Linked DNA regions of Drosophila melanogaster. The protein of the gene in region 1 interacts with the protein of each later gene in a pairwise test. Each region holds a gene or a part of one and is shown on either strand. Other genes may lie near its edges.

What was found. The genes of interacting proteins can lie anywhere in the genome.
Region 2: the proteins of Pen (region 1) and Map60 interact in a two-hybrid assay, tested with the Drosophila melanogaster proteins (one large-scale study listed by BioGRID).
Region 3: the proteins of Pen (region 1) and CG15646 interact in a two-hybrid assay, tested with the Drosophila melanogaster proteins (one large-scale study listed by BioGRID).

Annotation. Positions count from the first base shown.
Region 1 is NT_033779.5:10,055,076-10,060,686, forward strand, and holds Pen (pendulin), read left to right. Parts: upstream 1-1,824; 5' UTR 1,825-2,129; intron 2,130-2,546; 5' UTR 2,547-2,621; coding exon 2,622-2,684; intron 2,685-2,745; coding exon 2,746-3,059; intron 3,060-3,123; coding exon 3,124-3,694; intron 3,695-3,771; coding exon 3,772-4,392; 3' UTR 4,393-5,020; downstream 5,021-5,611. Other genes in the region: Cpr31A (cuticular protein 31A), read left to right, coding at 1-797. UniProt on the Drosophila melanogaster protein: Binds specifically and directly to substrates containing either a simple or bipartite NLS motif. Promotes docking of import substrates to the nuclear envelope. Seems to act as a cytosolic receptor for both simple and bipartite NLS motifs.
Region 2 is NT_033778.4:9,588,853-9,593,386, reverse strand, and holds Map60 (Microtubule-associated protein 60), read right to left. Parts: upstream 2,521-4,534; 5' UTR 2,359-2,520; coding exon 2,087-2,358; intron 2,023-2,086; coding exon 972-2,022; 3' UTR 643-971; downstream 1-642. Other genes in the region: CG1827 (uncharacterized protein), read right to left, coding at 3,003-4,071, 4,125-4,237; clos (closca), read left to right, coding at 1-397, 461-640.
Region 3 is NC_004354.4:15,667,243-15,672,758, forward strand, and holds CG15646 (uncharacterized protein), read right to left. Parts: upstream 3,788-5,516; 5' UTR 3,542-3,787; intron 2,556-3,541; exon of another isoform or gene 2,209-2,555; intron 2,094-2,208; 5' UTR 2,053-2,093; coding exon 820-2,052; 3' UTR 643-819; downstream 1-642.

The DNA.
Region 1 (5,611 bases):
ATGCCCTGCCCACTCCAGTTGTCAAGGCGGTGGCTCCTGCTCCTCTCGCTCTGCCCGTTGCTGCGCCGGTGGTGAAGACCCTGGCTGCTGCTCCCGTGGTCGCTGCTCCAGTGGTCAAGACTGTGGCTGCTGCTCCCGCTGTACTGAAACAGGTAGAGTTGGAATCTTCGCCGCGCTACGACTTCTCCTACGGCGTTCACGACAGCATCACCGGCGATATCAAAAGCCAGGTGGAGACCCGTGACGGTGGCAATGTTGTGGGATCCTATTCCGTCCTGGATGCCGATGGTTTCAAGCGCACAGTGACCTACACCGCCGACGACATCAACGGATTCAATGCGGTGGTCCAGCGGGAACCGGTTGTCGCTGCCCGCGCAGTTGCTGCTCCAGTGGTTTCCGTCTCCGCTCCAGCTCCAGTTCCCGTCCATATTTCCTCCGCTCCCGTTGCCTCGCTGCCCGCTCCCATCTACTATCCACACCAGCAGGTGTTCGCCCCACAGCAGATTCAACAGGTTGCCGAGCAGCAGGGTGAGGTGGTGGAGTCTCCTGTGGCCCAACAGCCCGAGCTGGAACCCACTCCCATTGACTACAACGAGGGTCAGCAGCAGCAGCAGGAGCAGCAGCAGCAAACCTATCCCCAGGATCAGCAGTTCCCACCCTACTCGCCAGCTGGTCAATCCTCCCCAGCTCCTGACAGCGATGATTCCGACGTGGTGGAGGCACGATCTGCCCCGGAGGCCAGCAGCACCACCACCACCGCTGCTCCAGTTACGGAGGAGAACAAGAAGACGGCCTAGATTGGATTATGAACGGAAATATTGTTGAAATTAATAAGGAAATGAATAAAATACTTCGAGAATACATAAAAAATTGTCTACTAATTCAAATTAAATGTAGTTTAGTTACATTTATAAGCTGATAATTCAAAAGCTTAAATGCGGCGATTTTAATAATTAATTTACCACATTAATTTAGCGGATTACTTCTCAAAGAATCGAAAAACAAACAATTGAAAAAGGGACTAAATCGATTGGCAGCAATCATCTCTAAAAAAAATTTTGTTTATTTCTGACAACCGCATATAAACAAAATGAAAAGAGCATTAACCGGAAATATCTGCGCATTTATTGCATTATTACTGATAATCGAGAGATTAAATGGTATTAGTGCAATGATAACATATTTGCAAGCAAAAAAAAAGAGACAATCAAATTTTATATTTAAAGGTAGACAGATAAAATCAGTACCTTTTATTATCCAATTAAATATTGATTTAGGTGGCTATTTTTTGTCTTATTAAATATGGATAGAGCTTTACATTTTAACACATATTCGTTGAATAAATTAACAACAAAGATTGAACATAAATATTTATGGAAATTGTAATTGAAGCTTTTAAACGTATAGCCTTAATATTAAACATTATTAATATTATATTATTTTAAGATGAAGGTTTTCCTTACAAAAGTAAAGACGAGAAAGTAAAACATAAACATTTGTCATAAACATTTAAATGAGCCCGCGTGGTGTGCAGATTCAGCCGACTTCTATTCAGCTGTTGGCTGAATTTGGCTTGCATGCGCACACGTTCCACGTTCCACAACAACATATTGAAATCCAAAAGCTGCTTCACCACTTGGCAAGCGATCGTTAACAAGTTACACCAGAAATTTATATATACTAAAAAAATAATAAGTTACTTAAAAATTTAGTAATAATTATGTGGATATAAAAAATGTACATTATTTTTCTCTACGCGCCGTTGTCCGAAGTTAACAGCAAGATAACATGCGATATTAGGCACCTACGTTCACACTGGCATCAAATTTCGATAACTGACAAAGATCGATAGCCATCTGCGTTTCGTTCGCCACTAAGGCTTGCTTTTCAAATCAAACGGTAAATTCTGGCGGCGCCAAGCAGGCATTGACTCCAATTTCGCATCGATTACGAGAGTACTGTCTACGTTTGTCTACAGTTTCACCGACACATTCAGCGTGCTAACACGCTCGACAAATTCTCGTGCTCGCGTTTCGTTAGGGAACGATAAAAATTGTGTAAAAATTCAGTAAAGTGAATTTCCATTCGAAAAAGCCAGCACACGCATTCAAAAGGGCAAAGGTACAAAGGTAAGTGCGTGTGTACTCTTTTCTTCCTTTTCGCGGTTTTTCCCACTGCTTTTTACTAGCGTTCATCAATTTGACCGCCTCTTCGTGATCTCCTCTTCTCGTTCCCCTCTTTCCGCGAATCGGCAAATGGCGGCTGCTGCAGCTGTTGCCAACCAAAGGCGTAGTTCTTAACTCGCGGGGGCTTGAGCGATTGGGTGCCCCGTTAAAAATAATCTTGTAAATTAGTTGGCTTATGTTGGCTAACACATAGGAATAACATATCGAGTTGCTGGCCACAAAGAAAACCCCTTTTTTGAACTCATGGTTACGCCCCTGTTGCACGCCGAAAGGAATATAAAAGACAGAGATAAAAAAAAAGAACCCAAGCAGCCCTTGATTCTGCTTCTTCCTGACATTGACTCACATTTTCCTTTTCAGTTTCACACATTTCATCGCAGCAGCAAACATCTAAACTTTTAAAGAAAAAACACAAAACTCAAAAAAAAAAAAAAAATGAGTAAGGCGGATTCTAACTCACGACAGGGCTCCTACAAGGCCAACAGCATTAACACGCAGGTAATGTACACAAGATCCTCCGCAGAACTGCGTTCGGAACTAACCTCACTTTTTGCCCTAGGACTCACGCATGCGCCGCCATGAGGTGACCATCGAGCTGCGCAAGTCCAAAAAGGAGGACCAGATGTTCAAGCGGCGCAACATCAACGACGAGGATCTAACGTCGCCGCTCAAAGAGCTCAATGGCCAGTCGCCGGTGCAGCTGTCCGTGGACGAGATAGTGGCGGCCATGAACAGCGAGGATCAGGAGCGCCAGTTTCTGGGCATGCAGTCTGCCCGCAAGATGCTCAGTCGGGAGCGCAATCCACCCATCGACCTGATGATCGGCCATGGTATTGTGCCCATTTGCATACGCTTCCTGCAGAATACCAACAAGTGAGTAGTGGCTTTAGAATGTTGATGAGAGCATTATTGAATATCCCCTGATTCGCCGCTACAGCTCAATGCTGCAGTTCGAGGCCGCTTGGGCGCTTACCAACATCGCCTCTGGCACATCCGACCAAACGCGCTGCGTTATCGAACACAATGCTGTGCCGCATTTCGTGGCTCTGCTCCAGTCCAAGTCCATGAACCTGGCCGAGCAGGCAGTCTGGGCTCTGGGCAACATTGCCGGCGACGGAGCCGCCGCCCGCGACATTGTCATCCACCACAACGTAATTGACGGAATCTTGCCACTGATCAACAATGAGACACCGCTCTCTTTTCTGCGCAACATCGTCTGGCTGATGTCCAACCTGTGCCGGAACAAGAATCCATCGCCGCCATTCGATCAGGTGAAGCGGCTGTTGCCCGTCCTGTCGCAGCTTCTGCTTAGTCAGGACATCCAAGTGCTGGCCGACGCCTGCTGGGCTTTGTCCTACGTCACGGACGACGATAACACCAAGATCCAGGCTGTGGTCGACTCGGACGCAGTGCCGCGCCTGGTCAAACTGCTGCAAATGGACGAGCCGAGCATTATTGTGCCCGCCCTGCGCAGCGTTGGCAACATTGTGACTGGCACAGATCAACAGGTAGGAAAACAAATGATTTTAATCCTTATTGTTATAACATGCCTGACCGACCTGTTTTTTTTTTTTTTTTTTATTAGACTGACGTTGTAATTGCATCTGGAGGTTTACCAAGGCTGGGACTCCTTCTACAGCACAACAAAAGCAACATTGTGAAGGAGGCTGCCTGGACGGTCAGCAACATCACAGCAGGTAACCAGAAGCAGATCCAGGCTGTGATTCAGGCCGGCATCTTCCAGCAGCTGCGCACCGTGCTGGAGAAGGGTGATTTCAAGGCTCAAAAAGAGGCTGCCTGGGCGGTGACAAACACCACGACATCTGGCACTCCCGAACAGATCGTCGATCTAATTGAGAAGTACAAAATATTGAAGCCTTTTATCGATTTGCTGGACACAAAGGATCCGCGTACCATCAAGGTGGTGCAGACGGGCCTATCCAATCTGTTTGCCCTGGCGGAGAAACTTGGTGGCACCGAGAACCTATGCTTGATGGTCGAGGAGATGGGCGGTCTAGACAAGCTGGAAACTCTGCAGCAGCACGAGAACGAGGAGGTCTACAAGAAGGCCTACGCCATCATTGACACATACTTCAGCAACGGCGACGACGAGGCCGAGCAAGAGCTCGCACCTCAGGAGGTCAACGGAGCCCTCGAGTTCAATGCCACCCAGCCCAAGGCTCCCGAAGGTGGCTACACGTTCTAATCGCCCACCCCACACATTCCAAACTCCGCTCACACGCCTTACAAACAACTACACCTTCGACCGCGCTCACACACTATGCCATTGTCAAACATACGCATACTCATCATCACATCTTACAAACATTCCCAAACACTTTGGAGGTATGCATGGAAACACAGGCGAATGCATTAGCTTAAAGTCATAATTGAATCGGGTTGGCAAAATCCACTCGCATGAATCCCCATTTAACATACCCGTATTCCTCGCGTTAGACTAGACTTCACAGATTGCAGCATGGATCTTTCTGGCAGTGTTCCTCGTTCACGATGCAACCGCTCGGGCAGCTGCGCTGGCTGGGATCCGTGGATCATAGTATTTCCAGAATCCGTCTGTACAGGGGGCACCTTATGTTTGCGTGTACTAGGCTTTTTATTGGATACGTTTCGAGCTCATTTCGGATATATTTTAGGCTGTTTAGTATTTATTTATGTATACAGGAAACGCTTTTAATCCTCCACCTTCGCGCAAGCATTACAACAACAACAACAACAACAACAACTCATTCCCTTCACACCAGTGTCCTCATTCCCGAATCGCATGTTTATATTCAAAGTTGTCAATAAATAATGAATTGTTTGAATGATTAATTAAATTTCATGTGTATTTAAGCTGCATTTGAGCATTGCGAAAATTGGAGCCTATTTTTGGGCCTTGGCATTTTTTTTTGTATATTATTTGGAATGCTATTGGGATATACACCGATGCAGGCAATCGAATTTAAAATGTTATCCCTTCGATGCGCTGGCGCCTTTTGTCCGTAAATCCGCGATAAAAAGTCATGCAGTCAATACATGTTTTTTTTTTTGTCTTGTACATTTAAATCGCATTTGGGCCGTAAGCGGATAGCCGGAAGATTAAGAGCTATCTACCGCAGCCACGCCCACTCGAGCAGCGGTGGACAGCGACCCCAAAAAAGTTCCAGATTAGATATAATGATTAAACAACCGACGAGTGAGTAGTGAGTAGTAGTCTACTACTGGCACAGAACGCGCACCACGCACAACTCAATCAAGATGAATCGCAGCGTTCGTGGTTATTGCAGTGATCCAGAGGGTAAGCTTAATCAGTGGAGCGACGACGTCACATCAACAACCATGTCCACGTACGATCTTGTTCCCATCGGATGCAGTGCGTCGAATTCGGCGAATCGTGTGTGTGTGTGGCAAAACAAATTATAAAA
Region 2 (4,534 bases), on another chromosome or scaffold:
ACCGTGAACGGGTCTGTAAATGGTGTCCCCTGGCAGGCGGACAAGCTCATTTTGATGGACAATGAGCAGGATATACCGGGCTCCCTGCTGGTGGCGAATAGTCTTCCCGAACAGAAGCGAGTTATGAGCAATAATGTGAAGAATCTCTGGGTGGATTTCGTCAACGATCTGCCCGTTAACGAGTTACTGGTCAGCAAGGCAGAAAACCGTCCCAATCTTCACGTGGAAAGCCAACTGATCTTCACCCAGCCCCTCACTGTGGGTCACTACGAAGCGGGCAACGGAAATGGGCTGCTGGATAAATATTACAAGAAAAAGCGGGGTGTCGAATCGAATGACATTCATGATTGGCAGCAGCTGCAGGAAAATGTGGCAGCTATTAAAAACAGATTGGCCAGTATGTTAAAAACACATTAATACAAATTCTCCTTTAGTCATGTGCATTAAATTCAACCAACAGAGCCGCCTAAAGTGCTGGAAGGCTTTGCTGTGCTGCAGAAATTACCTCATAAGGCCTCGCACATGAAGATCATCTCCGTGGACAACGAGGACGTACTGGCCATCTGGGAGCAGATGCCCAGCGAAGTAGGGACTACTTACACATGGCAACCGGATATACATCTTTTTGGGCGAAGTTCAAGTAAGTTATGTAGATTTATTTGCATATAAACGTATTTTAAAATCAAGTAGCATATTCAACCTTAAATAGGGACAAATTCGAAATCTCAAATATTAGAAATACATTTTAAATTTAGCTTTAAAATTCATGCGTAAATGCTATGAACACTCATACCAGAACTGTGAGTAAATACATTTTACAAGTGGGCGGCACAGAACGCAGACGTTTGAACACGGAAAAAATAATACGATAAATACGAGAAATGGTTCAGACAGGCCTACTACATAACTACCTTTTTAGTTTGTCTAATAAGTAAGCTGAGTAATCATTTAAATTGCGAGTATCAGTCGGTCTACTGCTCCAGTTCGTCGCTCTGCACATCGAGGATGGCGCGCAAGATGGACAGCTCCAGCTTGGCGGAGGCACGCGAAGAGAGTCTGTTCATCACATTGGCCACGTACAGCCCGAGAGACTCGTGTCGCGACGAGTTGCATAGATTCTTGAAAAAGGTTGGCGGCAGCGAGTTGTCAAAGTTGCCCAGGTTGATAATCTCGGGTGTATTGGAGGAGGCGGCGTTGATCTTCGGCCCGAAGATAATGTCATTCTTAAAGTCCAGCTCGTCGATGTGTGGCGAAAAGCCGTTTGTGGAAGCCACCGAGGTGGAAGCAATGGTGGCGGCTGTCGATGAGTTCGCTCCCCCACCACCACCGTTTATCTGTTGTGCCGATGGAATGGTGATGATGTTGATACCCGGCGGTGGTGTCTGGTTGTCCTCACGCTCCTTCTTAACCTGCATCAGCTGGGCAGTGGTTGTGTGCACCACATTGTTTCCCGCCGGCAGTTGATCTGGAACGCTGGTGTGCACTGAAGTTGCGGCTGCCGATGAAGCGGCTTGTTTCGGGCTCGTGGTCTTGGTCTGCTTTTTTTGCGCCGATGACGAGGTGTACTCCTCCGAAAGTTTGCGCTTCAAAGAATCTGGCAGCTGAATGGTGGTGCGCGAGGAGCTTGATCTTTGCCCACTGGCTGGCGCCTGTTGCCCAATAGCCGGTTTCGGTGCTGCTGCGGAGCTGGGCGTCTTCTTCACAGTAATTCCCTTCTTTTGCAGTACTGCTGCGGCGGCGGACAGCGAGCTACTTCGCGGTGTGTTGTTAGCCAGTGTGTTGAGCAGCTTTTTCTCCTCGATGGCTGGGCGAGGAGTGTCGACGTTGGGTTTGGCGTACGCCAACCGCTCGTCCTTTTCTGGCGAACCGGTGCTGTGTGACTTTGTGGGGCTTTCGCCGTCGGAGGACGCCGAGCCGGTAGAGTTGGTGTGCTGTCCGTACTGATGGGCGTCATCCTCGTCCTCAGGCTCCTGCACCTCCAGCATTTCGTACTCCTCCACCTCCTCCATGGGTACTTGATCACTGCAGAATAGCAGTAGAAATTTTGTTAGTGTTTCACGGTTAGAGGACTATTTACGCCACTTACTTCTCCTCCTTGATTGAGATTTTAGGCTCCTGATGGATCTGATGCATCAGACTGAAGAGCTTCCACGCCGAATTGCCCTTTAGCTTTTCCTGCTCGTACTTCTTTTGGAGCACTATGAAGATGGAGCGCGATTCGTGCACAGAGAGCTTGTTGAGACGCCCGATCCTGGCCCACGCCTCCTCCTGCTCCTGCTTGCTGGCGCCGCCATTGTTTGGATGCAGCACCTTTTCTTTGGCGATGTCCTGCAGAATCTTGTCCAGTTGGATTGCCATCTTAGTCAGCGACTTGCGGCCCGCTGGTTGCGCGTTCCTGATAATTTTGGAGGCTGTTTTGATAACACGCGACACACGAATTGGTATATGTAACTAGGATCCGCTTGTTTTTCTCTCCGCTTTCGCACCGTTCGCTTCTCTTTTCTTCTGTATTTGGCGTCGGTAAATTGGCGGAAAATGTGACCGTGCAACACGCAAATACTAGAAATGCCGCCTTTTGGTACAGTAACTTAGGGATGAGGGAGATTTTGGCAACATAGATGTTCACAGTTCACAGCTCTCGATGCAGTGAAAATTAAATTTTTATATATTATATTTATCACTATAAATATTAATACTTGCATTATTTTTACTTATATAACAATTATAATGTTTCTCCATAAGGAAAAGTTATTCATTTTGGTAGTCATAACTATCGAAGGAATGGTTTTTGTTTTGTCTTTTTCTATTCTATTCTCATACTTTATTTATTTATTTTATGTAAGGATCCTTACATATCGATAATTCTTAATACCGCTAATTTACGGTAAAACTACCCGTCTATCTTGCTGCCGATAGGGACAAACAAATAACGCAATTTATATTGCAGATGAGAACTCCACGAAATTTAAATTTTATTGAAATACGTTACAGTTTTCGCCACCTCACAACGCCACGATATTTACTTTGTCCTGACCACCTATGCATTTGACCGTTTCCAAGCGCGTAGGCCCATCCGCTCCGGCTGGACTGCTAACCATAAAGGGGAATTCGGCCAGGCCGTAGCAGGCAGCGCCATAATTACCCAGCCGATCTACGGCGATGAGAGCACCCATGAAATCCTTGTGGTGCTTGAGAATGCGGCGAAGGCCCTCTTGAGCTGCCTCAGCCGGAGGTTTTCCCGCCCGCATGGTCTCCACCGCTAGCAGGGAGGGCAGGAAGCGCATCATCACATCTCCATCTCCGGTTGCCACGGCTGCACCCACCTCGTTGTCTGCATAAGCGCCAGCACCCGGAATGGGGGAGTCGCCGACCCGTCCGGGAATCTTGTGCCGCGCCCCGTTGGTGGAGGTGCCGGCGTGGATGTTGCTTTCCACGTCGATGGCGATCATGCCGATGGTATCGTGGTTCTTGCGTCCGATCTCATACTCATTGCGGGCACGGTCCTCCTTCCAGCGGGTCAGCGGAGTCGGCCGCGGCTTATACGGGCCGCAAGAGACCTTGGGATCCGGGTGAACGTTCTTCCAGAAGTTTGGCTGGCAGTTCTCAGCCGTCCACTGTAACCACATGTCCTTCGACTCCGGCGTGACCAGCGACTCTGATTCGAATCCCATAGCATTGGCGAAAGCTGACGCCGCATCACCCACCAGCATGGTGTGCTGCGTGTGTTCCAGAACATGCCGGGCTACCTTAATGGCATCCTTAATGCGTCGCAGACCAGCCACTGCCCCCACATCCATGGTGGCCCCGTCCATGACCATGGCATCCAGTGTGGTTTCGCCCAACTCGTCCGGCGATCCGCCATAGCCCACCGTTCGGTCACACTGGAGTTTCTCACACTTCGAGCAGCCCTCCACTACCGCATTCCGCGTCTGCCGGAGTCCACCCTTGCTTTGCTTCAGGATTCGCCAGGCGAGCACATTGGCAGCCGTGAAGTTCCAAGTGTTAATGACCATGGGCAGCAGCTCACCCGTCGTCTTATTCGCCTTCACGGCAGTGGTGCCAGCTTTTCCACTGCAAAGGGGCGGATCTTAGCGAACAAAGAATACGCTGTATGCGCTGCTCACCTAAACGCCGAAGTCAGCGTTGGTTTGGGCGAAGTATTTACTGCCGCAAGGATGGAAAACGCCATGGTGGCCAAACAAAGGATCCAAAGACTTGCCCGCAAGTGCCTTCTCATGGTTAATCGTAATGGTCTCTACGAGAAGTCTTGGTGTATCACAATCTGTCCCTGTTCTGCCGGAAAATGGTCGAGTTCTGCTTTTAAATGCTAGCAGTCTAACCTCACTGTTTTGCTTTCTTATCTGTTGTTTTGATATACCCTCTAAAAGAGTCGTACACATTTTCAAATTGGTTTAAGCAATATTTTAAAACTTGAAAATGTTTCAACATAGATTAAGATATAGGCAAAAAACCACCTATTAATATCGATAAAGTCCTATCCGTATAGCCTATATTTGGAGTGGAATTATAGGAA
Region 3 (5,516 bases), on another chromosome or scaffold:
GTAAGTTCTTTTTTCTCCGTGTAGTTATGGATCGGTGATTCGCCGTTTGTAGATCTGGAGTACAGTTAACAAGGACCTCGAATCCTGGCTCAAAACCCTCGATACAAGCCGTTGACCGTACAATTTGGTCGATTCTATGCAAATTTATGCAAATGCCCACCGTTTTGTAGCCTGTCGTTTGTCGTTTGTAGTTGTTGGTGGTTCGCCATTTGGTGGTGCACAGGTGCGTGATAAGTGCCGTGTAAAGGACTCGCAGGATATGCCGCAACATTTTTACTACCACAACTGTTACTCCCGCACCCTCTAGCTCAGTGCATATTATCCAGCATATCCTGCCAGCTCGCCGGTTGGAAATGAAAGGTCGACGGTGATGAATTCATGGGCGGAACGTGAGAATCCAGTTTAACTTCAACTCTAGAATATTGCCTCTGAAATATTGCCAAGTAATCCCCACGTAGAAGACAGTTTATCTCTAATTAATGGTTGTACTTATCTAACGCTAACAAGGACCCAATTGCGTTTACGCGGCAAAATGATCTTTACATCCTTTTAAGAATTAAATGTTCATATTTAATGGTAACAAATCGAACTTTCCTTTTTTAGGATATTAGGAATAATAAATTCGCAATTCAACTAGTTTTTCAAATCGGTTTTTTATTTGTCAGAAAAAAAAAGGATTCTTAGGTAATTATAGGATCTGTTTCAACATTCGTATTCCAAGGCAATGCTGCGCTTTTAGCCACTCAAAAAAAAAAAAAAGGTTTAGGTTATAACCAAACAGAAGTCAAAAATCAACATATGGACATGACCCGCATTGGGTCACTTCTCCACGAACAGATCCTCGGCGTAGGAGAAGCTCAGCCGCCGCTTGGTAACCGCCTCCACCCGCCCGCCGCATGATCCCATGGCCACCAGCTCCTCCTCAAAATCGCTGGTCGAGTTGTGCCCACTGTCCGGGCTAATGTGGCGCCTCTTCTGGGCGAACCGCTGGCTGGGCACTGCAGATCCGGACCTGGCCGCTGCGAGCAGCTTCTGCGCCGACTGCCTGACGCTGGAGGAGATCTTGGTGGTGATCTTTCGCTTGCGCCGCACCACCCGCTGCCTGCGCAGCTGCAGGGAATGCCGCTTGGCATCCTGCGATTCGGATTCGGTGGGCACGGGGGAGCGCACCTCCCGCTCCTCGAAGCCCTCCGCTGGCAGGGAATCCCTCCGCGAGGGCGACTTCCAGTACTCGCACAGATCGCTGGCCGGATCGAAGGCGGGGCGGTAGGTGGGCGATGGCGTCTGGGTGGAGCCGTGCCCGTGCCCGTGTCCGTGGCTGCTCCGGAGCACCTGCTGCCTGAGCCTGTGCCGCTGGCGGAGATGCTGCCTGGGCTGGCGGTGCTGATGCTGGTGCTGTTGCTGTCTGGCGTTGGGCAGCACCTTGCGGTTGCTCTCGAGGATGGCATCGATCATACGCTCCAGGGTCACATCGCCCATCTGGCTGGAACTGAGCGTATTCTGTTCGCCGATCGGAGGAGCTGGATGCGGATGGGGATGCGGATGTGGTAGTGGCTTCTGCTCCAGGTAGCGCGGCTTCTCGAAGTAGCTGTCCGGGATGCCCATGCCGCGCAGGGCGATCAGGGAGCCAGGAATGATGGCGGCATTGGGCGAGTACTCCGCCTCGAAGGTGGGCAGTGTGCAGGCGAACTTCAGGGGAACAGCAGCTGCTCCTCCAGTTGCCCCACTAGCGCCACTTGCTCCTCCCGATGGCGGCGTGGCCAGGATGTTGCTGAGGTCCTTGAGCAGTGGTGTGCGAGCATGGAGGCTCAAGGAGCTGGCCGGCAGCGGCGTGGAGGTCAGCTGGTTCTCCTTGCCTGGCGCCACTCCGATCGACTTCCTCTTGAGTTTGCCACGCAGGGCGTGGAACTCGCTGTAGCTGGAGCCCACCACTTCGGCCTTCTGCTCGAGAGATCCTGATCCCGATCCCGATTCCGATCCTGTTTGCGATCCCATGGCCAGCTCCTTGGCCAGATACGAGTTTCGCGGCTGGTTGACAGCCCACTTGAGCATCCTGGCAGCTGCTGTCTGTCGCTCCTGCGGTGCCAAGATATCTGGAAAAGTGGCAAAAAGGATAGGGCTAGTTAGCGATTGTCTATTTGCAAAGCTTCTCAAGCAGAATGGAATTGCAAAAAAAAAAAGCAAAAACAGAGCAAAAACCCGACTAACTTGTAGCGAAACGAGTTTGCACAGGGGCCTGCTTGGGATTTCGCCAAGGATTCGCACAGCTGAACGCCAGCTTCCCGATTTCCGCAAGGAGTTTCTGGTTCCGCATATCCTTGCGAACAATTGAGCCGGCACAAAGAGCCCGGGAACAAAGGAAAAGCGCGCTAAAGCTTCGCGATTTTCTGGGCCTCCGGTTCGCTCCTGTTCGCCATACCAACGCACTGCCCTCCAGCTGCGATTTAGCCCAAGGTTCTGCCTCGCGTATCGTGTGCTCGGGTGGTGTGCCGGCACAGGGAGAAATTATCACCCAAAATCAGGCAGGAATTTGGGGATTTATGCGCAAAAATCGGAATATCTATACATTTTATTTATATTATTTTTTAACTGATTGAACTATTGTTCAAATAATTTCAGAATCTGGGGAATTATTTGGCATCTAAATGGCTTTGTTACAATAAAGAAGATATTAAAATTGGTTCCAGATTTAGTACCCGATTAAATTATAAAAGCAATAAGCTATTCAAATTTCAATAGAAATGAAAAATGTTTACAACATTCTTTACTATAAAAATAAAATATTTAAGCAAAGCCCTTGATAGTCAAATTAGAAATTAGCGGTCCAATATACCATTTCATTAAATTTGCAAATCAATAGAAATTTTGGGAACTAAGTTCGCCAAGAAAGTTACTAATATAATTATTATTCATTTTGAATAGTAAATTTGTTGAGCTGCATGATTTTGAGACTGAAGATTCAAGTGATAAAAAAAGTGTGGCTGGGAGAACATATATATTTTTTGCCGTGTGAACTTGGGCAAAATGGTGGTGCTGCCGGCACACTCTGTTGCCTCGTCCTACTCCCATTCCTCTGCCCCATCCTCCAGTGGTGTCGATCTCCGGCCACTCGAGGAGTGATGGCGATAAGGGGGGATCCGCAGGAGTGAGCGATTTCGCTCATCTACTCGATTCCGGGATATGTACGTGCGTGCTAGCATTTTTGCGCATTTTGCAGCCGCCGCTCTCGTTTTGGTCTGAAGAGCACTCGAGCACTTGGGCCAAGTGGCCCGAGTTCGAAAACCCATTAACCCATAGCCCATTGCCCATATCCCATTGCCCAAGCTCAAAACCAAAACGCAGGAGCTAAAACCCAGCAAAACATAACCCAAAATCGCACGCGCACAATTTATACGTTTTTAGGCGATTTTAATGGGGTGTTTTTAATTAAACCCCGCTGCCCCAGACACTTCTGCTTTAATGCATTTTTAATGCACATTTAGCCCGAAAATATGCACACTGGCTTTTCGTTTTCCATTTCATGCACTTCACTTATCTTTACCTTTTTATTTGTATATATTTTTTTGGAATTTTTCGCGTTCTTCGTTTTTTTTTTTTTGGGGTATCCAAAGTTCAGAAATTGCTTCGTTTCACAATGAAAAATAATATAAAATTTTGTGGTATTTTTTCTTTGCACGTTTAAAAAAAAAATGAAAATAGGCGTAACGAGACGGGTGTTGGGAAATCAAAATTGTAAATTTTGAAATTTATTTCCTGCTCGCGATCGCAGAGAAATACACGTCCTGTCGCTGCAACAGACGAAAAGTGACTAATTCTACCCTCGCACGCAAACGTTGCGTGCTCACCTCGCAGAGCTTGAAACCCGGTCTCACGAGGCACACTGAAAACAAATATGTTGTACTTTGGGACCAGCTATACAAAATATTTTAAATGTATTACAGATTTTTGAATGAGAAGATACCCAACTATTTGAAACAGATTTTGATAACTATTTACGAATTTGTTTTATGCACACATAAAGATAACATTTAGGAATTTTGTATACAAATGAAATATATCCTAAATATATATCATAGTTGATTATTACATATTTTTAGTTCATTTAAAAGTATTGAACTACAGTCTTTTTTGACAGTGTACTAATGGAACCACCACCTTTTCAACAGCACCTTTCAATATTGAAGGTGAGATTGCCGTTCGTTCGCTCTCCCGATTTCTCTCCCCTGTTGACTGCTGAGGAATTTCGGGACTCGGAAAGGACATTCCCTTGGACTGAACTTGAAAACCTAGTGTAGCACCACCACTAGCCCGGCAATTTGAACTCGTCCCACCCCCCGGAGCGGGAGCGATCGGGTTGATATTGAAATCGAATGCTTTGCATTCCAATTCATCTCACATGGCATTTCACTTGGCATTTGTCAAGTTTGGATTTCCATCGTATAATGCTTGACAAATGCTCCGGCTAACGATCGGCATATATAATATTAATGGCCCACAAGGGACCTTCCATTGGGCCATCATCATTTGTGCGATTGATATACATGTTCCGAAATTGATTGAGATTTGATTTTGGGAAGTGTTTGGCAAGATGTCAGGAGTGACTTTTAGAATTATATCCTGCGGATTCGGTAAGTCTGAAAATATATACTATATTTTAATGAGAACTTTAAAAGCAGTTTCCTTATGCAAAATTACTTATCCTTGATGCTTTCGACTTTGATCATTTATGAATTAATCGAATATGTTTAATATTTAAGGCTGCGAAATACCAAATTCAAGGCACTGACAATAGAATCAGTCTAAACAATACGCCATATAGTCTTCCCTAGCCAGATCCAATTATTCCCTGTGTTTCGCATCACCTATTGATCTGCAGATCCTTTTCCATGGCATTTCGCATGATCCTGGGCAAATAAGCCGATCCGAGAGCCTCTGGTCCTTGAAGTGCCTGCCTGTCAATGGATGCCAGCTTTTCACGGCGATCCCAAATCAATCAAAGGATCTGGGTCCTGTGAACACACACAGACACACCAATACCAAACCCCACCCCCTGCCATTGCCCGCCAGGCATATCGAGTGGGAAAGCGGAAGAAAAGGGAAAGCAGTGGAAATCGAAGGAAGAAGGACGAAGGACGAAGGAGCCAGAGGGAAGCTCTGAGCAAATACAAATTCTAAATTATGGCCCATAATTCAGGGCCAGGTTTTAATAATTTTGCGCGCCCCGCCGGCGAAAGTAATGAGAGAAAGCAGAAGCAGAAGGTGAGGGAGCAGAGGAGCTCGCCTAGCCGTGCTAATCCCCGAGCGAACAGCTGTCCGGCCCAAGGATTGTGCATTGTGGGTCCCTATGTGTGATTCCTCGGATTTCCTCAAAACTCGGCCGCTCTGTCCTGGCGCTATCAGTGTGCGGCTTGTGATTCAAGATTACCTTTTCCCTACCCACTTTTCACTTTATCTAGATGTCCTTGCCGCCGCACGTTTCTCCAACGATGGCCAGCGGAATGGGATCCTGCACAGAG